Linked DNA regions of Callithrix jacchus. Each later gene encodes a partner of the first gene's protein in a complex. Links are inferred from orthologs where the notes say so. Each region holds a gene or a part of one and is shown in the gene's direction. Other genes may lie near its edges.

The links. Proteins that work in one complex are often made in the same cells at the same time.
Region 2: the proteins of UBA3 (region 1) and NAE1 are in contact, whole or in part, in a crystal structure (PDB 3DBR), measured with the Homo sapiens proteins. The link is inferred for Callithrix jacchus from reciprocal best matches to the Homo sapiens genes UBA3 and NAE1. Residues at the interface, in NP_003959.3 of Homo sapiens: Trp34, Glu35, Gly36, Arg37, Trp38, Asn39, His40, Lys43, Phe44, Glu46, Arg47, Ser48, Gly49, Pro50, Phe51, Thr52, Phe56, Glu83, Lys86, Asn87, Leu90, Ser91, Val106, Ser107, Leu109, Asn110, Arg111, Phe113, Leu114, Arg116; in NP_003896.1 of Homo sapiens: Glu10, Gln11, Lys12, Tyr13, Asp14, Arg15, Gln16, Leu17, Arg18, Leu19, Trp20, Asp22, Glu44, Lys47, Asn48, Leu51, Pro52, Gly67, Glu68, Ala70, Gly71, Asn72, Asn73, Phe74, Phe75, Gln77, Arg78, Ile81, Phe92, Glu95.

What each region holds. Positions count from the first base shown.
Region 1 is NC_133516.1:50,892,191-50,902,549, reverse strand, and holds the start of UBA3 (NEDD8-activating enzyme E1 catalytic subunit), read left to right. Parts: upstream 1-4,991; 5' UTR 4,992-5,020; coding exon 5,021-5,040; intron 5,041-5,226; coding exon 5,227-5,268; intron 5,269-7,455; coding exon 7,456-7,576; intron 7,577-9,853; coding exon 9,854-9,934; intron 9,935-10,359. Other genes in the region: ARL6IP5 (PRA1 family protein 3), read right to left, coding at 1-30. UniProt on the Homo sapiens protein: Catalytic subunit of the dimeric UBA3-NAE1 E1 enzyme. E1 activates NEDD8 by first adenylating its C-terminal glycine residue with ATP, thereafter linking this residue to the side chain of the catalytic cysteine, yielding a NEDD8-UBA3 thioester and free AMP.
Region 2 is NC_133521.1:24,332,715-24,343,315, reverse strand, and holds the start of NAE1 (NEDD8-activating enzyme E1 regulatory subunit), read left to right. Parts: upstream 1-3,903; 5' UTR 3,904-3,980; coding exon 3,981-4,033; intron 4,034-7,303; coding exon 7,304-7,407; intron 7,408-7,500; coding exon 7,501-7,561; intron 7,562-9,331; coding exon 9,332-9,362; intron 9,363-10,375; coding exon 10,376-10,447; intron 10,448-10,601. UniProt on the Homo sapiens protein: Regulatory subunit of the dimeric UBA3-NAE1 E1 enzyme. E1 activates NEDD8 by first adenylating its C-terminal glycine residue with ATP, thereafter linking this residue to the side chain of the catalytic cysteine, yielding a NEDD8-UBA3 thioester and free AMP.

The sequences.
Region 1 (10,359 bases):
GGCGCGGAGTGGGGCGATATTAACGTCCATGTTCTTAGCTTTGCGTTCTTCGCCTCCTGAATCTGGCGGCGGCGGCGGCGGCAACCGATCAGCTGAGCTGAGTCACCGAGGTGACAGCCGCTTCGTCTAGATCGGCTTCGTGGTTGGTAGGCAGCGGAGCAAAGGACATTGGGAGCGGGCGGGCGTGTTTGCTCCTCTTTACTTCTAGATTGGCTGTGTAAGTGGTTAGGTACAGGAAAACAGGGACCTCGAGTCAGGACAAGAGACTGAGTGCAGAATAGAGATGAAATGACAAAGCAAACAGCAGAAATCCCCTTTCTGAAGCGAGGTGGCAATGTCTTCTTTGGTAGTCTGAACACCAGGGGCCTCCTTTGAAATACCTTTTTTAAAGGTTTAACTTAGAAGTGTATTTTCTGACTTAGAGAAAAATTTTGGCAGCTGTGCAGATGCCACTATAAGTCAAATGAAATGGAAGGCGACTACAGTGTTACTGGATAATGAGCTGCTTTTGAAAACTACCTCTTACTAACCTCTACACATCTGAATGCAATTCCCATGTTTTCTCTGTTTCACCATGAGTCACTATGTGTGAAATCAGATTGGCAAAACGGGAAAGAAGGTCATGTCGAACAGAAAGGCTGGTTTGTTTTTTTCACTTCTCTTCTTTGTTCTCCATCTCTATTCTCTTGAGGCTGAACTGTTGGACTGCTGTGCCATTCTGATAAAGTGATAAATTTGGCACGCTGCTCACTTTAGACAACTGGGCATGTTGCTTACATTTTAAAGCAAACAGTTGTCTCCAGTGAACTAGTTGTTCTGCATCTAGCGTTTTGTGAGCAGAAATATGCATTCCACTTCAAATGTTTTCTTAGTTTTATTGAAAAATTTGGTGACAACTTTCACTGAGGAACCACAGTATATTCATAGATAAGGTATCCCAGAACTAAGAACTGGCAAGGGATGTATTCATTGTAAATTATCTTCTAAGCTTTCAAAAGGTCATCGTTTTTCAGTTAATGAGCTGATTGTTACATTATATGAGAAAAAGTATTTTGTTTAATTGTATAATGTAATAGGTAGGATTCTAAGATGAAGACTTCTGAGATAACAGAGTCTGTAGGCCCATAGTGGTTTAGACAAACTGAATTCACTCTACTCAGATAATTAATTTTCAAAATCTTAGAAAGTAATGAAATATACTTATGCAAAGTCTAGAAAATAATTTAATCTTCCTTGTTGATTCAGAAGGCAGTTAAGGAGCTTACAGTGACTCTAAGAAATTACTACTACTACTGGTGTTTAGGAAAGTTTGGTGATTGCAAAGAATTAGTGCTGACTAAGATATATCTTATGTGCTGCCTTTTGAATAAAGTTTAAAATGTGAAAATATTACTGAATGCTCACGTTCTCTTGATTCTGGAAAAATGGGATGGTGTGAAGTCAGAGAAAGCAAAATTAGAGTCCCAGCTCCTTCCTCTCTGACAGGTGACTTTGGAGAAATTACCTGATCTCTCCTAGCATCAATTTCTTCATGTGTAAAGTGGGGATAATGGAACATCTGCCACAAAGGTGAGGATAAGTGAAGGAATGTATAGGAAGTGCTTAGTGTATGACAAATGTTCACAGTTATACGTTACTATTATTGTCATTAGTAATAGGCTAGCCCATGATTCATGTCTGCTATTAATAGTGCTTTAATCTGATTTGTTTTCTATAAGCATCTACTGACTTTTCTCTACCTTGCTCCAATTTTATTGTTGTGGTCATATCTGGGTAGATATAATAGGAGGAGAAAGATTGAGAATATTCAGTACAATGCCAACAGGTATTTCAAGTTCTTTTGAGGCTCTGGGACAACATGGTATTAAAAAAAATAAAAGAGGAGAAAGATGAAATCCTGCTCTGCCTTCAAAACTCCTGCAATCCAGTGGAAACACTAGTTAAATATGAGACAGTGAGATGAGGGCTAAATAGAGATGCACTGAGCCACAGTGCACAGTTACAGGAAGTCAGAGGGTGTGGAGGAATTTCCCAGGGCTTCAGAATGTCAAGAAGCAGCACTGTGGGCAAGCTGAGTAAATCATTTTGGTCAAAGTGTGGGGCCCCACACTGTTAGATTTATGAGTATTAGAAGCTGTGATCAAGAACTTTATCTTCTGGCCAGGCGCGGTGGGCTCACGCCTGTAATCCCAGCACTTTGGTAGGCTGAGGCGGGTGGATCATGAGGTCAAGAGATCAAGACCATCCTGGTCAACATGGTGAAACCCCGTCTCTACTAAAAATACAAAAAAAAAAAAAGTTAGCTGGGCATGGAGGCACGTGCCTGTAATTCCAGCTACTCAGGAAGCTGAGGCAGGAGAATTGCCTGAACCCAGGAGGCGGAGGTTGTGGTGAGCCGAGATCGCGCCATTGCACTCCAGCCTGGGTAACAAGAGTGAAACTCCATCTCAAAAAAAAAAAAAAGAACTTTATCCTCCAACTGCTCAGAACTACATGACCAAAAGCTGTCAAGAGTATATTAGTAACAATATGATTACGCCTTGATTACAGGCAATTGATACCCAAGAGTTATTTGTTTAAACCTTAAAAGGGGTTTAAAAAGAAAGAAATTCTAAAAAGACAGAGAAAGCTGTTTATAGCATGATTCCTTTCTCCCTCTCTCCCAAAATGTTATTTCTGTTTCTCTCTTTGGGAGATTTTTTTTTTCTAAATATTTTTACCTTTGTTAAAAAAAATTTTTTTTTTAAATGAACACATTATGAGTCATTTCTTTATTCCAGTAACTGTTTGAAATGCTGTAAGTAGCAACTCTTTGTTAGTGTTCATTCTGGGGAGAGAGACGTCAGATTCACTGCAGAGGTCTTCCTGGAGCTTTGACTTATTACTATTTTTAGAGACAGGGTCTTACTCTGTTGCCCAGGCTGGTCTTAAACTCCTGGGCTCAAGCAGACCTCCCACTTCAGCCTCCCAAGTAGCCAGGATAAAAGGCATGGGAATCCAAGCCCCACTTCATGGGGCTTTTATAATGGGACTGGTGTGTCTAGATAGGACAGAATATCTGTCTGTTTTAAACCTATAGCAGATAGTCTAATTGTTTATGATACGTTCCATTTGAAGTAAAATAAATCTGTTGGAGGTTTTGCTTGCATGTCTCTGTTGCTATCATTACTGGCAAGGGCAGATGGCTATTTCTGATCCGTCAATCAATCTGAGCCAGTGAGAGTGCCTGGTGGCATTAATCAAAATACCACCATAGTGAGTCAGGGTGTTCTTCTCAAAGCAAGCAGATACAGGGCCAGATGCCTTTGCAGACTTCTTCATAAGTTAGCTGTATTCTATCCCTAGGCCTAAGTTTCCTCCCCATGAAACAGGTGAGATTGGACTAGGTGGTCTCTAAGGTGCCTGTTGGTTTCACCATGTGAGAGGGCTACAATGCTCACTACCACTAATCAAAGGGTATCCAGTATTATTGGGGGTTCAGGCTACAGGAGCCCATTTTAATAAGCACTGAGGTTAAATCCTCAGTGAAGCCATCTGTGGAGTTGTCTGATTGTCTGATCAAGAAAAAGTGGTTTCATAGTTGATGCTGAGATATGTGATGCAGAAGGAGGCTGGAATCTCTTGATAATGGACTATGAACTTTAATTCCACACCCACTGCCTGGCACTAACTTTCAGCTCAATGAATGCTATTGAACTGAACCTAACTGGGGGGGCCATAAAGGACAAGCTTTCCTTAAGGTTCAATGAAAACTAGGACAAGAGGAGATTAAATTTCACAATGTAGTAATGGCAGCTCCATTTATGAGTCCCTATTAGGGTTTATGTATTTCATTTCAGTGGCTCTCAAACTTTACCAGCAGAGAACGACCCCAGGCTTTGCAGAAGGTTGAGGGTGGGGCCTGAAAATTTGTGTTAACAAAAAATTCCCGAGTGATGTTGATCAGAAACTGTATTCTGAGAGCCACTCTGGATTTTACTTAATTATCAGTCTTACAAGGTGAATAGTGTTATGCCTATTTTATAAATGAAGACATAGAAGTGTCTAAGGGTCTCATAGCTCATAACTGTGAAGGATTTAAAATCAATTACTTTTGATTCCAAATCTCATTCTTGTCCCACTCCATAAAAGGAGATGTGTGTGTATGTATATATAAATGCATTTTTGAACATGATCATTTCTGTCTATCCAGCCATCCAGACTCACATGTATATTTGTATTTTTGACTCTATAAGAAAATAGCTGACACTTTGCTCACTCTTTATCTTGAGGTAACAGGATTATGGGTGTTCTAAATTATTATTTGATTTTTGTCCTTTATACTTTCTTCTTTGCATCTAAATATATACATTTATCACAGAAAAAAAAGTTTTAACGAAATCATTTCATTTCTGTTGAACTTATCTAACAGAATGTGACACAAAAATATTAATGTTGATTTGTACAAAGAAAATAATAATCTCTCATCCCACCACTGTAAACTGATTTAGATAAAATTATTCAAGTGAGTTCTTGTAAAGGCAAAGACTTTGGAATCATCCTGAAAAGCAGAAAGTGAAAATTTCCTTGGTCTTTGTCTTAGAGGAAAGCCTCTGGCATATTTAGATGGTTCTTCAGGAGTTTTTTAAAGAATATACCAGTATTTTATATAATTACTCATTAACATATAATTTGTACAAATGCATAATGTATTGTCTACATTTTCACGCTGCATAGCAACATTATGGACGGCATAAGATTTACTTAATTAAGTGTAGGTAATTAAGATTATAATTACAGGGAAAGGTTTTAAAGCCCACGGGAGTCCTAGCGCAGTCAGCCCCGCCCTTCCGGGCGGGCTCCGTCCCCGCCCCCGTCCCCGCCCCCGTCCCCGCCCCCACCCCGCCCCGCTTTGCCTGCCCCCTCCCCGCTTTGCCTGTCCCCCGCCCCGGCTTTGCCTGCCCCGCCCCCCGCCCCGCTTCGCTGGTCCCGCCCCTCCCCGCCCCGCCGCTAGGGCACCTGGGAAGAGGCGGAGAACAATATGGCGGATGGCGAGGAGCCGTAAGTACCGGGACTCTGTAGACGCGCCGGGCTGGGCTGGGTTGTGAGAGAGCGCGGCGGTGGGCGGTTGCCGCCGCCACCCGGGGTCCCCCAGCCCCCCGCCCCGTCCCCTCGCCCCGCCATCCCCTCGCGGCGCCCAGTGTGTAGCGTGATGCTGACCCTTCTTTTATTCTCTCTTTCTTTTAGGGAGAAGAAAAGAAGGAGAATAGAGGAGCTGCTGGCTGAGAAGTTAGTGCTGCCGGGAGGCCGGGGTCCTCTCCGGGGACCCCGGCCTCCCCCAACCCCAGGCCTAGGGGACCAGCCGCAGCGGGCCCGGGGGGCTGGGAGAGGGACACCCGGAGCGCAGGCCACGCGGCCTCATCCCTTGACCCCCGTCCCGCAGCCCTGGGGGCCTGGCAGGCCGTTCCCGGTTTCTGCGCAGTGCGGGCGTCGGGGCCGGGCTGCACCGCCCCAGCTCCTGCAGGGGCCCTCCAGGGTACTTGACGTAAGGGTCTTGAGGAAGGACCCTTGTGCACTCCTCTTTCTCCATCCCAAATTGTCAGAGCCGTGACCCTGTGAAAAGGGAATCTACTTTAAACACCCAGGAAAAGGACACAAGACCGTTTTGTGGCCTTTTGCAAACACTGAGACAGTAGTACTAATTGCAAACTTTTAATGATAACTCTACGTGTCAGATATTGTACTAAGCACTCCAGTCATTTTGGCAGAATAATTGGCTCTTAAAAGAGATTGACCTCAAACAGCCTGTTTTTCTCATTTACTACACACCCTATTTTTTATCAGATGCGTAGTTCTATGCTGGTGAGACAGATTTAATCGAAGTGTTTTCTAACCTGGCCAACGCCACATAATTTACTCCCCTCCCTGCCTGGGCAGGGAAACTTGCATTGGGTATGGTGAGTCTGTAATTTCCGTGCCAGTTCCCAGTAGCAGCTTTGGTCTTTAGGTATGTCCTTCAGACAGTTGAATTTCAACTGTGAGAGGACTGGGATGGCAAGCTTAATTTCACATTCTTTCCTGCCTTTTATTTCCCTCCTCCTTTTACGTGAAATCACAGTTAAACTTTGCTTACCACATGCCATGTATTGTTCTGAGTCCTCTCTATGTGATTACTTCTAGTCTCATGGCCGAAAGAAGTAGCTATGAATGGCCTACAGAGGAGGTTTATGGCCATTAAGAAATCTACTCAAGGTCATAGTGCTGTTAATTGTGGAACCGAGTACAACTCTTGACATCAAAACCTACGGTTTTTAGTGCTAGGCAATACTTCTTGGTCTCTTTTGTAAAAATTGGATATTGCAAACATATTTGAAAGTAGAAAGTGTGGGGTTATAGGAGGTTAGAAAATTTAAAATTATCACAACCAAACGTGAATCTTGCACTAGGTATAAAAGAGATGCATTTTGTAGAGGAGTCCCACCTTATTCTGTTGTGTGTTCTAAAGGGTTTCTAGATGCCTATCTGTGGCGTTATTGTAACCTAAAACTTCTTGTGTTTAGTGGCAAGAAAAACTGCCTCACAGTTTTAAGAGATTCTTTTAAAAATTAGGACCTCTGCCAGGTGCGGTGGCTCACTTCTATAATCCCAGCACTTTGGGAGGCCTAGGCAGGCAGATTACTTGAGCTCAGGAGTTCTAGACCAGCCTGGGCAACATGGTGAAACCCATCTCTACTAAAAATACAAAAATTAGCTGGGTATGGTGATACGTGCCTGTAGGCCCAGCTACTTGGGAAGCTGAGGCAGGGGAATCGCTTGAGCCCAGGAGGGCAAGGCTGCAGTGAGCTGCAATTGTGCCACTGCACTCCAGCCTGGGCAATTCAGGGAGACTGTCTCAAAGAAAAAAAAAAAAAAGGAAAAGAGAATATTAGAACCTCTCTTTCTGAGAAAAGTGTGTGAAAATTCCACTCATCAAAAATGATTTTTAGATTACACCTTTCAAACTTGGAAAGGACACAAGAAGTATTAAATTTGAAGCGTCAGAATTCTGGAAGTTGACTTTATTTTTTCTATTGTATCTCATGTTTCCTAATGCAAGTGTGTTGAAGCAACAGACTGAGAAAGTTTGCAGTGATTTTTTTGTTTTGTAAATACCAAATGTAGAGAAGTCCATTTCTAATGGATAGACCAATATCCTAAGTTGGACCTTGGATTGCATTAGGAAACCAAAAACATGTAGACTGATTGATTTCATCCAGTGGGTGAAATAAAAATAGAAATGTGGAGTTCTTAACTTTAAATCAATTGTATAATGGGCAAGAAAAAATTTCAAAGCATTAACATGAGCACGTTGAATATTTCCCTTTTTATTTGAGCAGGTGTGGTGTAGTTACCTTTTCATTTGGGGTTACCATATAGTTGTAGGTTTGGTTTTTTTCATACTGATGTTTGCAGCTGAATTTACTGTGTTCTGTGCAGAATGGCTGTTGATGGTGGGTGTGGGGACTCTGGAGACTGGGAAGGTCGCTGGAACCATGTAAAGAAGTTCCTCGAGCGATCTGGACCCTTCACACACCCTGATTTCGAACCGAGCACTGAAGTGAGAAACATTTATTTTTAAATAACTGCTCTAATAGTTTTATGTTTCAAAAATAATAGAATGCTTCCTTTTTAATTTGCTCTTATAATGAAAATACTAATAAAATTGTTTTGTGAAACTAAATTTTTTTAAAATATGAAATTGAATATTCACAACTGATTTTGTTTGAATGACCGTTTGAGTCTTCACATTTCTCATGTTACATAAGTTAAAAATTTTCAATAGAAAAATATGACCTTATGTAAAATTTAAGTTATACTTAAAATTCTAGTTTAAAATGCTCTCTGAAATATACTCCCCTTTTGTAGTACTATCGTGAGAAATTAATTTTGATAGGAATATAGATGCGCTTATTTACATTTTGAAATTTGGTTGGAATGAACATCTTAGCATTGAGTATAATTAGTTGCATGTTAAGAATTATGTGAGTACTAAATAATAGAGGCGTAGAATTTTGGACTGTTAGTGTCTGACTTAAGGCAAGTGTTCAATTATATGTGACTTACTTTTTATTACAGGGTAGGAAAAGTATAGCGTATGTTTATATCCTTTGTATTTACAAAAAGATAATATTTTGAAATAGAAATATTGTGCTACTTCTGTACATTAATGTGCACACTCTGGGTTTGGCCTAGTGTCTCATCTGAATAAATTTCTCCTTTAATGTTGGGCAGAATTGAAAGTATTTAAAAAAAAAAAAAAAAAAAAAAAGGCTGGGCGCAGTGGCTCACGCCTGTAATCCCAGCACTTTGGGGGGCCGAGGTGAGCAGATCACAAGGTCAAGAGATCGAGACCATTCTGCACAACATGGTGAAACCCCGTCTCTACTAAAAATACAAAGTTAGCTGGGCGTGGTGGCACATGCCTGTAATCCCAGCTACTTGGGAGGCTGAGGCAGCAGTGAGCCGAGATCATGCCATTGCAATCCAGCCTGGGCAACAAAAGCAAAATGTCATCTCAAAAAAAAATTTTTTTAATCGTTACTTCTGTTAAATGATTTTATTTTTGCCGATAAGGAATTTTCTAAGACTTGTATTTGTGTTTTCCTGTTATCTCATGTTTTGTGAGTTTCACTTACTTAATCAAAAGGAACTGTTGGCCAGGTAAGGTGGCTCATGCCTGTAATCCCAAAACTTTGGGATGCCAGAGTGGGAGGATCACTTGAGCCCAAGAGTTCAGACCACCCTAGGCAACTTAGGGAGAACCCATCTCTTAAAAAAAAAAATTAGCTGGGCATAGTGATACATGTCTTTGGTTTCAGGTACTCAGGAGGCTGAGGTGGGAGGATTGCTTGAGGGCATCTGGAGGTAGAGGCTACAGGGAGCTCTGATCAGGCCACTGTACTCCAGCCTGGGTGACACAGTGAGACCCTGTCTCAAAAAAAAAAAAAAAAAAAAGCAGCTGTTACTCTTCTAACCTTATTTTTTTAGTCCTTTAAGCACCTTGGGTAGTGTTTAATCCTGTTTTTAAGATTTTTAAACTTAAATTTTTAGGAAGTCAGTTAAATAACTGAATTTGATGTTTTCTATTCCTTTTCAAAAATTGAAAAGCAAACTAAAGATAGTTTTTCTTGTTAAAAAATAGCCTTTTAATTTCATACAATAAAAGGCAATTTAAAAACATTAGCAGCCAGACATCGTGGCTCATGCCTGTAAGCCCAGGACTTTGGAAGGGCGAGGCGGGCAGATCACCTGAGGGTCAGGAATTTGAGACCAGCCTGGTCAACATGGTGAAACCCCCGTCTCTACTAAAAATACAAAAATTAGCTGGGTGTGGTGGCTCATGCCTGTAATCCTAGCACTTTGGGAGGCTGAGGTGGGTAGATCACCCGAGGTCAGGATTTCAAGACCAGCCTGGCCATCATGGTGAAACCCCATCTTTAAAAAAAAAAAATACAAAAATTAGCTGGGTGTGGTGGTTCATGCCTGTAATCCCAGCTACTCAAGAGGCTGAGGCAGGAGAATTGCTTGAACCCAGGAGGCAGAGGTTGCAGTGAGCCAAGATCACATCACTGCACTCCAACCTGTGCGACAAAAGCAAGACTCCATCTCAAAAAATGAAACTAACATTGAAACTTACTGAAATCATTAGAGTTTTAGAATTTCTGGTTCGATAAGAATTCATACATTTAAAATAATTGATCAAATACAAAGTCTTCTCTTTATCCTAATTGCATTTTTTCGTGGAAACATCAGAAACTGTTTTAAAGTTTGTTGCTTTATTGACAGTCCTTGTGGTTATTACCCAGCTTTTAATATGCCTTTCCGTTCTTTACAGTCTCTCCAGTTCTTGTTAGATACTTGTAAAGTTCTAGTCATTGGAGCTGGCGGCTTAGGATGTGAGCTCCTGAAAAATCTGGTAATATATACACACATATATATATTTATATATATATATAAAAAATACATATTATTTTCTTTTTTGTGATAAGTAAACCTTGCTTATCTGTCATACTAGGAAATTTATTGTCATTGTTAACCTTTTCTCTTGAGCCTTTTTTAGATAAGTTTAGCACATCAAATTCCAGTGATTAAAATGATGATAGAACTTTGGAATTTTTTTAACTCTAAAGCTTTCAGCTATAAAATCATTGATAGAATTTCTTACTTCCATTTTCTTCTCTGATCTTTACTAAACAAATTTTGGCGCTTCCTCTGGCGAAACACTCCTAACCTCAGTGAAGTAAATAACAAAACTGGTAATTCATATTTAATGTATAGTTTCAAATAATTTATTATTTTTTTTGCTTCCCCAAATAACCCAGCTAGGCGGGTAAGGCATTG
Region 2 (10,601 bases), on another chromosome or scaffold:
GGCATCATAGTAAGTGCTCAGTAAGCCAGGGTAGGATCAAGCACGTATCAGAAACACCTGGATGACTGGTTAAAACAGTTGCCTGTGCCTCACTCTATAGTTTCTGATTCAGCAGGTATGGGTAAGTTCCAAGAATTTGAATTTTTCTTTTTTTTTTCCAGAGACAAGTTCTCACTATGTCACCGAGGCTGGTTTCAAACTCCTAGGCTCAAGAAATCCTCCTGCCTCACCGTCTTAAGTGTTGGGATTACAGGAGTGAGCCACCTTACCTGGCTTTCTTTTTTTTTAATGCTTAATTTTTTTTTTTAAGAGACGGGGGGAGAGCATCTTGCTCTGTTGCCTAGGCTGGAGTGCAGTAGCGAGATCGTAGAGATCATAGCTCACTGCAACCACAAACTCCTGGGGTCAAGTGATCCTCCCACCTCTGCCTCCTAAATAACTGGACTAAAGGCATACACCACCACACCTGGCTAATTTTTTATTTTTATTTATTTATTTATTTATTTTGTAGAGACAGAGTCTTCTGTGTTACCCAGGCTAGTCTCGAACTCCTGGCCTCAAAGAATCCTCCTGTCTTGGCCTCCCAAAGTGCTGGGATTACAGGCATGAGCCACTGCACCCAGACAAGAATTTGCCTTTCTAACAAGTTTCCAAAGTGATGTCGATGCTACTGGTCCAGGACCACAGTTTGAAAACCAATAGCTTAAAGGAATTACACCATGGCTTCCTGGTCTGATACCTCTAGTTTCCACCCTCCACAACAGGGAGGACTCACCTTGAGTTCTTTCATGGCAGGGCCATCAAAAGAACTATGTTTGATCAGTCTCTCCTCTTCCAGCATAGGCACTTTTACATGGTTTTATGGGTTGAATTATTATCATTATTTTCACTTTCATCTCTACAGAAAATAATATAAAAATTAGCCAAGCATGGCAGTGGGTGCCTGTAGTCCCAGCTGCTTAGAAGGCTGAAGCAGGAGGATTGCTTGAGGCCAGGAGGTTGAGGCTACAGTGAGCCATGATTATAACCACTGCACTGAAGCTCAGGTGAAACAATGAGATCCTGTCCCTCACCCCACCAAAAAATAGTGACCAGACTCCAAAAGCATAGGGAACAAAAGAAAAAATAGATAAATGTGTTTATACCAAATTAAAAAGCTTCTGCACAGCAAAGGAAATGACAGAGTAAAGAGACAACCCACAGATTGAGAAAAAATATTTACAAACTATACATTAGATCAGGGACTAATATCTAAAATGTACAAATCAGACCACTCAATAAAAATAAAAAAATAACCCTATTACAAAATGGGCAGGGCCAGGCTCAGTGACTCAGGCCTGTAGTCCCAGTACTTCGGGGGGCTGAGGTGGGAGGACTGCTTGAACCCAGGAGTTTGAGACAAGTGTGGGCAATATAGTGAGACCCTGCCTCTAAAAAATAATATTAATACAAAGGTGCTGGGTACGGGCTGAATTATGTCTTCCCCAGAAGTTACTGAAGTCCTAACCTGCCAGTACCTGTGGAGATCTTATTTAAATATAGGGTCTTTGCAAGTGTAATTAATCCAGTTAAGATGAAGTCATCAGCATGAGCTCTAATCCAATGTGACTTGTGTCCTTATGAGAGGAGAAACAGAGAGATGAGGGGAGCATGCCATGTAGCGGTGAGGCAGAGATTGAAGTGCTGTGGCTGCTAGCCAAGGATTGCCAGCAAACCCCAGGAAGCCAAGAAGAAGCAAGGACAGATTTTCCCCTACAGGTTTCAGAAGGAGCATAGTCTTGCCCACACTTTGATTGTAGACCTCCAGCCTCCAGAACTGTAAGACAATAAATTTCTCTTGTTTTAAGCCACCTGGTTTGTGGTTCTTTGTTACAACATTCCTAGGAAACTGACACCCTGAGTTATCATTTTACAGACACCACCAACACAAACCTTTTCTTAACTTCTTCTTCTTTTTTTTTTTTAAAGATGGAGTTTCACCATGTTGGTCAGGCTGGTCTTGAACTCCCAACTGCAGGTGATCCGCCTGCCTTGGCCTCCAAAGTGCTTGGATTACAGGCATGAGCCACCATACCCGGCCTCTAACACAAGCCTTTTCAAAGTAATTTACTTCTTCACAGGCACTATGACTCGCCCTCTACCAAATTTGAGGATATTTCCTTTCCTGAAGTCCATGGGCATGAGAAGCAAAGCAGTGAACTCTCATCTGCTGCCTTTTGACCTTCCTACTTTCCTGGAGTGTATTTTATTATCCCTTATATTTCACTTGTTCACTTGGAGAAGGAAATGTGACAGCACAAACACATGATGAGCTGGGAAAGCCTCACGCCTCTGTTTCTCATCAGTTGTGTTCCATGAGAGTTGAGTAAGGACAAGGGAAGGTATGTAAGGGTGTACTCTCACCCTGGTCTGGAGAACACGCCCAGGGGAAAGTGCAACTTATCACCACTGCATCATTACCATCAAACTGTGCCACCACTCTGGTTCCTAACCTAGGCGGTTGGGGGTGGGGAATCCGTACTCATTTCCACCTTATTTCAGGGAGTTATTAACCTGAAGGTGCCTGTAGGGTCTGGAAGATAAGAGAGGAAGGAGTCTTCATCTTTATTCCAGACGGTCACCTTGTCTTCAGCACCACCCCCCTCCCAGTTGTCCTCATGAAACAAAACCTCCTTCCATGGCCTGCCATCCCCACAAGACAGCTATTCTCTTCCTGAGAAGAGGGTCTTTTCAGGAAGTGGAGGACTTTAAATTCCTCCTTGAATCTATGTTCGCAGTCCTCTGAACCCAGCCCGTCCCAGCTTTGTCTCAAACCTTCCAAACCACCCCTGATTCTTCACCTGACCAACTTACTCTAGCACCTGCGGCTTGCTATGCCTTCTTTGCCTCTTAGAGATGGCACCTGCTGTTCCTTATGCTTAAAACACCCTTCCAGCTGGGCACGGTGGCTCATGCCTGTAATCTGAGCACATTGGGAGGCTAAGGTGGGCAGATCGCTTGAGCCCAGGAGTTTGAGACCAACCTGGACCATGGCAAAACCCTGTCTCTACAAAAAATACAAAAATTAGTTGGGTGTGGTGGTGCACGTCTGTAGTCCTAGCTACTTGGGAGGCTGAGGTGGGAGGATTGCTGCCCAGAAGCTTAAGGCTGCAGTGGATTAAGACTGCACCACCGAACTCCAGCCTGAGCAATAGAGTGAGATCCTGTTTCAAAAAACAAAACAAAACAAAAAAAACCCTTCCATCTCCACACCACATGAAACATTCTTGGAGAGGGCGAGTGGGGAGCTTGTTCTGTGCACCCTGAGCACGCTACTTCCCTCTATCTACAGGAAGGCCACATTGTCTGGTGAGTGCTTGTTTACTGACCCTCTCCCTTCACCAGACTAAACTCTTCAACAACAGAGCCCTGGACTTGTTTGCATCTGCAGCAGGGAGTTTGTGATTCAAAATAGGCTTGTGGGCTTTTTCATGAGAGGAAGAAATGGGTGAAAAATAATGATAATCACAACGAAAGTTATTATTCATGCAAGACTTTGGGGGAGTCTGGCCTCCTGTATTCAAATTCTCATTTAAGGCCAAAGACACTTGGAACCCATTTATCCCCACTGCACAGGTGAGCAAACGGAGGATTTGAGAGGTAAAGAGATCTCACAACCAGTTAAGTGGTCAAAATACAAGTGTGCCTGATTCCAAGGCCCCAGTCGCCCCCAAATGCTGCACGGCCAGACCGCGAATTGGTAGGCTAGCGGGGCTGCCCCTCCTGCCTACTGGGACCGAGATCCCCAGACCTGCTCGGGGCCGGGGCCGCTTACGCCCTTAGTGTACCCGTGACGCGTGCGCAGTGCAGTGCGGCGCCCCCTGCGGGCAGCGCGCAGGAGGCGGTGGCGGCGGAGGGGCGCTCAGTGCGCCTGCGCGCTCGTAGAGCTGGTGGCGGCGCTCTGCGGGGGCTCCCCGGTTCTCCGCGCGGCGGGCGCGGCCATGGCGCAGCCGGGGAAGCTGCTCAAGGAGCAGAAGTACGACCGGCAGCTGAGGTGAGCCGGGGCTCACCGAGCCGAGGGTGGGCCGGCGGGCTTCCCTGAGTCCGGGCCGGGCCTAAGGGCGCAGGCGGCGCGATCGGGCCTCCCTCAGGCCTCCTTTCAGGCTGGGCCGGGCCGTGTGGGGCGCGGGAAGCCGGCGCTCTGGCCTCCCGCCCCGGGCCGAGGGTGCTCCGCGAGGACCAGGACCCCTTTCCCCGCCACGCGGTGTGCGATTCGGGACACGCAGTCCCCATTGCCAAGCCCGGTCGCTAGCGCGGCTGCCCGCCCCGCCTCGCCGCGCCCAGGCTCCTGGTTTTCAGAATGGGGAGGCCCAGAACGCACCCCATCCCTGCCGCAAGAGCGGCATAGAGGGTTCGGTTTTGTTCTCACCAGCGCTGTCCAATGGAAATGTAATGCCAGTCTCATGTGAATCACAAATTTAATTATAAATTTTATAGTAACCACTCTAAAAGTAAAAAGAAATAGGTGAAAATTATTTTTAAATACAATTTAACCCAATATGTCCAAAATATTACTATCTTAACAAGTAATCAACATAAGAAGTTATGAAGACATTTTACTTAATTTTAAAAAATATTTTATGTTTTTTGTAGAAACGGGATCTTGCCACCTTGCAGGATGGTCATGAGTATTTTCCTTTTTAAAACTGTCTTGGAAGACGGGCATGGTGGCTCACGCCTGTAATCACAGCACTATGGGAGGCGGAGGCGGGTGGATCAGGAGTTTGAGGTCAGGAATTTGAGACCAGCCTGGGCACCATGGTCAAACCTCATCTTTATTAAAAATTCAAAAATTAGCCGGGTGTGGTGGCGCGCGCCTGTAATCCCAGTTACTCTGGAGGCTGAGGCCAGAAAATCGTTTGAATCCAGGAGGTGTAGGTTTCAGTGAGCTGAAATCACGCCACTGCACTCCAGCCTGGGTGACAGAGCGAGACTCTTTAAAAAAAAGAAAACCCAAAACTGTCTTAGAAATACTGCCTTCTACACTTACAGTACATCTCAGTTAACACTAGCCTCGTTGCTCAGTAGTACGTGTAGCTGGCGGCTACCTTAATGGGCATTGCAGGCCCAAGCCATCAGGAGGGTCCTTGGCTACTTCCCCACCCTTGCCTTTTCTTTCACTCCCCATTGCTTATTTATTGAGCGTCTTCTATATCTTGAGGCTGTGGAAGTAACAAAGCTGCTTGGCTTCCTCTTCCTGGAGCCTCTGAGACAACAGAAGTTATGTATCTCCAAGGACTGGAGTTTCTGTTTGTACCACCAGCCTAGTGTTGTATTAGAGGCACTTAAGTCTGAGAGCACCCTTGAAAGCAGCCATTTCCTGTGCTTTACAATTAGGGAAACTGAGTCTTGGAGAAGTTAGGTAACTTGCACAGAGTTCCCCATATCTTGAGCCAGGATGTAAAGTCAGGCTCTTCTGGGTTTTTTGGAGGTACACAGTTACATCCTGCTCCCAAGCTTTTAGGAAAAGAAAGAAAGGTGACAGTCCTTATAACCAACTTAGGTTTTCTTGTAAATTATTGGAGTTTGTCTGTTTTGAATGCAGGTATAACCATACGTGTGACAGAGCTGAGAAGATAGTTGAGGTTACTTAGCAACTCTAACAAAAGAGGGGTTTTGCTGAAGACATTCCATTTAAGTCCCAAACTTTACCTTTCATAGTGAGAACTGGTTATTGGTTTTGAACTGTCAAAGGGAAGCAGTTAGAAGCAAAATGCAGCAGTCAATACGGCCCTCCTGGCTTCACCTTAATTGGGCCAGCAAGTTAGAGAGGACTGAATACGTTTTACCTCTTCTTGAAACATGTTACTTAGAGGCATACCAGGATTCTTTTTTTTTTTTTTTTTGAGACCGAGTCTCACTCTGTCACCCAGGCTGGAGTGCAGTGGCATGATCTTGGCTCACTGCAACCTCTGCTTCTCGGGGTCAAGCGATTTGTGCCTCAGCCTCCCAAGTAGCTAGGATTACAGGTGTGTACCCAGCTAATTTTTATATTTTTAGTAGAGACAGGGTTTCACCATGTTGGCCAGTCTGTCCTTGAACACCTGACCTCAGGTGATCCGCCTGCCTTGGCCTCCCAAAGTGCTGGGATTACAGGCGTGAACCACCTCGCCCAGCTGAAATGAACCAGTATTATTATTATTATTATTATTTTATTTTTTTTTTTTTTTGAGACAGAGTCTTGCTCTGTTGCCAGGCACCAGGCTGGAGTGCAGTGGTGCAATCTTGGCTCACTGCAACCTTTGCCTCCCTGATGAACCAGTATTCTTAAGTTTACTCTCCAGCTATTCAAGCATCCATCAAATATATGTCAGGTGTCTTCTGCGTGCTATACTTTCATGGAGAAAACGGGCATTTACAGTCCATCTGGTTCTTCCAGGCGATTCCTCCACACATTTGACAGCTGTCTGGGCCCTTACAAAGCTAAGAGTGGAGTGGAAAGATGGATGCCCAGCAAACAAAAACAAATGAAGCCAGGTGCAGTGGCTTGTGCCTGAAGTCCCAGCAACTCTAGAGGCTGAGGCCAGAGAAATGCTTGAACCCAGTAGTTCAAGACCAGCCTGGACAACACAGTGAGACCCTGTCTCAAAAAAAAAAAAAGAAAAATGAGGCAGTTGCTTGTCATATGCTCTGGAGGACATACTGGTTACGTAATAAGGAGTAATCTGCTTTAGATTAGGTGATGGGGAAGGCACATTAATCATGCTCTTAGAATGTTCATTGGGTATTATACTTTAAAGCACTCCTGTAGAAGTTGACGTGAGGCTTTTCAGATGATAATTCAGTTTTCTTGGTAAAGGTTTTGCCCATCCTTGGAGAAGTCACAGTAACAAGCCCTATGTCAAGATCTTAAATACATCTAACTTAACTTAAATGCATCTAACATAACTTAAGAATAAATGAGTCCAGGCATGGTGGCCCATGCCTGTAATCCCAGCACTTTGGGAGGCCGAGGTGGGCGGATCATGAGGTCAGGAGATCCAGACCATCCTGGCTAACGTGGTGAAACTCCATCTTTACTAAAAATATAGAAAACTAGCCGGGCGTGGTGGGATGTGCCTGTAGGACCAGCTCCTAGGGAGGCTGAGGCAGAAGAATCACTTGAACCCAGGAGGTGGAGATTGCACTGATCACTCCACTGCACTCCAGCCTGGTGACAGAATAAGAGGCCGTCTCAAAAAGAAAAAAAAAGATCACTATTCAAATAAGAAAGCTGTATTGTCATGAAAGCTTTAAACATGTCAAATTTGTGTCTCTTTTGTAGGTTGTGGGGTGATCATGGGCAAGAGGCTTTAGAATCTGCTCATGTTTGCCTAATAAATGCAACAGCCACAGGAACTGAAATTCTTAAAAACTTGGTACTACCAGGTAATGTAGTTTTGTGGTTGTGTTCTAAATTTACTTCTTTAAGATTATGACCTAGAACTGTACATTCCTGACTTACTCTGTTTTGGCTCTCAGGTGTTGGTTCGTTTACAATTATTGATGGCAATCAGGTCAGCGGAGAAGATGCTGGAAACAAGTATGTTCTATTCTTTTCAAATATATACATGTTAAGGAAGGCAGTGCACTTTCATGGGAAGGCAAGTCCTGAATCCTAGCTTCAGTCAGGGTGACTCGGCTCTCAGTGGAAGTCATCTTTGTTTGGGATTATGGTGAGGAGGAAGTGAGATAATACAGGTAAAGTGCAATACAGCATTTGGCAAATGGGCCATTAATAAAAGGTACTCATCATTACTGGATTGTTATGAATATAAAAGAGTAGTCATTATTTGTTTATTCATGTAATATGGACACTTCTAAGCTCTTGCACTGACTCCTATATAATCACATATAATTAACAATAATACCTGTATGTCTTCTCAGCTTAGTCTAGGCGTATATCACTTTATACTGTGTCTACGAAATGCTGTTTTAAAGATGGCCTGTATATTATTCTTTAAAGATTATATGTAGATTTTCAGAGCATTCCCAAATTTGGATTTAATGCTCCGCACTTTTTCAGGGGCTTGAAGTCTGGTATCTTTCATTGTATTTGTCAGTAATAACAACAGTGAGTAAATATAAGGAAAACCAACAATTAGTTCATATTTAGTTTTGATGCCTTTTCTTTGGGTGGTAGTGCCAGTTTCTGCTAGGCACAGAACAGCCTTTTTATTGACATGTATAAAGAAATCTTGTTCTCTTTGCTTACTTGGTTGGTTAGAGTAGAATGTGATAAAAATAGAGTTTTTTCTATGGAGCCAGTGAGTTTATGCCAAAAAATGGCATCTTGACTCTGATCAGCAGCCTCATATCTGGGCCTTGAGACATGTCAAGGGTATGTGTGGGAGGAAGTCTGAATAAATCTGTTATAGTTACGTGCAAAAACAAATGGTTCAGTACACCGAGACTAATCTATGGAACACTGGTTCTAGAGAATGTTAAAAGCTGTTAAATGGGCCGGTGGGTTCCATGGTCAAATTAGTTTGGGAAATGGATCAAATAAAGTTAAAATTTCTTTACCTTAAGATTTTAGTGGCAGGGTGCAGTGGCTCAGGCCTGTAATGCCAGCACTTTGAGAGGCTGAGGCGGGCAGATCACTTGAGGTCAGGAGTTCAAGACCAGCCTGGCCAACATAGCAAAACCCAATCTCTACTAAAAATGCAAAAAGTTGGCTGGACACGGTGGCTCATGCCTGTAGTCCCAGCACTTTGGGAGGCCAAGGCAGGTAAATCCCCTCAGGTCGGGAGTTTGGGACTAGCCTGACCAACATGGAGAAACTCCATCGCTACTAAAAATACAAAAAATTAGCTGGGTGCGGTGGCGCTTGCCTGTAATCTCAGCTACTCGGGAGGCTGAGGCAGGAGAATCCCTTCAACCAGGGAGTCAGAGGTTGCAGTGAGCTGAGATAGTACCACTGCACTCCAGCCTGGCGACAGAGTAAGACTCCATCTCAAAAAAAAAAAATTTTAGTATCATATGTTTTATGTATATTATGAATTTCCAAGAGGGAAATATAGCATATGGTGTTTCCCAAACTTTTTTTAGCCAAGGAACCCTTTTTTCTCAGAGGATCTTGTGATATTCACATTTCCCAAAGTGGTACACACTTTGGAAAAGAAACATTGACTTATTAGCCTATCTTTGTTTATAAGCCTATCTGATTTTCTTCCTCTAGGAAGGCCATTACCATCTGTAATCACAATATAGCTTGTTTTATACTATGAATGAATATGCATGCTATTACAAAGAGCTTTTCCTTTAAAATTAGTAAGCTTTACTTTTTTTCCCTTTATTCTGTTCACTTTAGTTTCTTCCTTCAAAGAAGCAGTATCGGCAAGGTAAACAATTTGTTAGAGAATATAGTTGCACTTGAGGATCTAATGGTGCCACTATGCTTTGATTGTTTGAAAAGCTTTGACTTTAAAAAAGCATATTATTTCTCTGAGAAAAAGTTACCAAATTTTTCTAATCTTGTAAATCTTCATATGTTTGGTGGTTTAAAAACTTAGAAGTACTATCTGTGCTTATACATTGTATCCTGTATTAAAGCTAAATCTTGAGTAATGTAATATTCAGAAGATGGATTCTAGTTGACAGAATTTTTAATAAGAGCCAGAAGATGTTCTATCTTTGTATTTCAAATTAAAAAATCTTATGAAACCATATTAGTCAACTTAGTGAAATGACTGTTAGCATAGTGATTAACCACTTTTGTACAGGATTCTAGATTTGGGGGGTGACAGTGAGTCTGAACATGATCTAGGATATCCCTGCCTGCTACCTAGAGTTTTTTGGTCATTTGTCAAATCAAAAAAGTTGAGTACAAAAATGTTGTTTGAGAACTCTGGATAATGATGGTTTTCCTTTGTTTTAAGTAATATTCTGTTGAGTCATAAACACTAGGGGAAGCAGAATTGGCTGGGACTGGTGGCTCATGCCTGTAGTCTCAGCACTTTGGGAGGTCAAGGCAGGAGGATTGCTTGAGGCCAGGAGTTCAAGACCAGCCTGGGCAACATGGCAAGACCCTGCCTCTACAAAATATTTTTTTTTAATTAGCTGGGCATGGTAGCACGTGCCTGTAGTCCCACCTACTTGAGAGGCTGAGGCAGGAGGATTGCTTAAGCCTAGGAGTTTGAGGCTGCAGTGAGCTATGATCAGGCCACTATGCTTCAAACTGGGTAACAGAGCAAAAGCCTGTCTCTAAAAAGAAAAAAGAAGGGAAACAGAGTTGTCATACTTACATATGAAATTTGGATAGTTTTACAGTATGTTTGCCTGTTCCATAAATTGGGGGATTATATTGTGACCAAACTTTTTTCTAATTCAAGTTAAATGCTTTGTTTTTAAAAAGAACCGAGCTCAAGCTGCCATGGAATTCTTACAAGAATTAAATAGCGATGTCTCTGGAAGTTTTGTGGAAGAGGTATATATGTACACACATTTTTATGTCTGCTGAAATACAATTTTTTAAAATAATTCAAAGCCCTAGAAATTTAGAATTTTGAATCTTTGTATCATTTATGATTAGTTGAATTGGATTTGTTGCCTCATTTGTTGTAAAATAGCTTAACTATTTC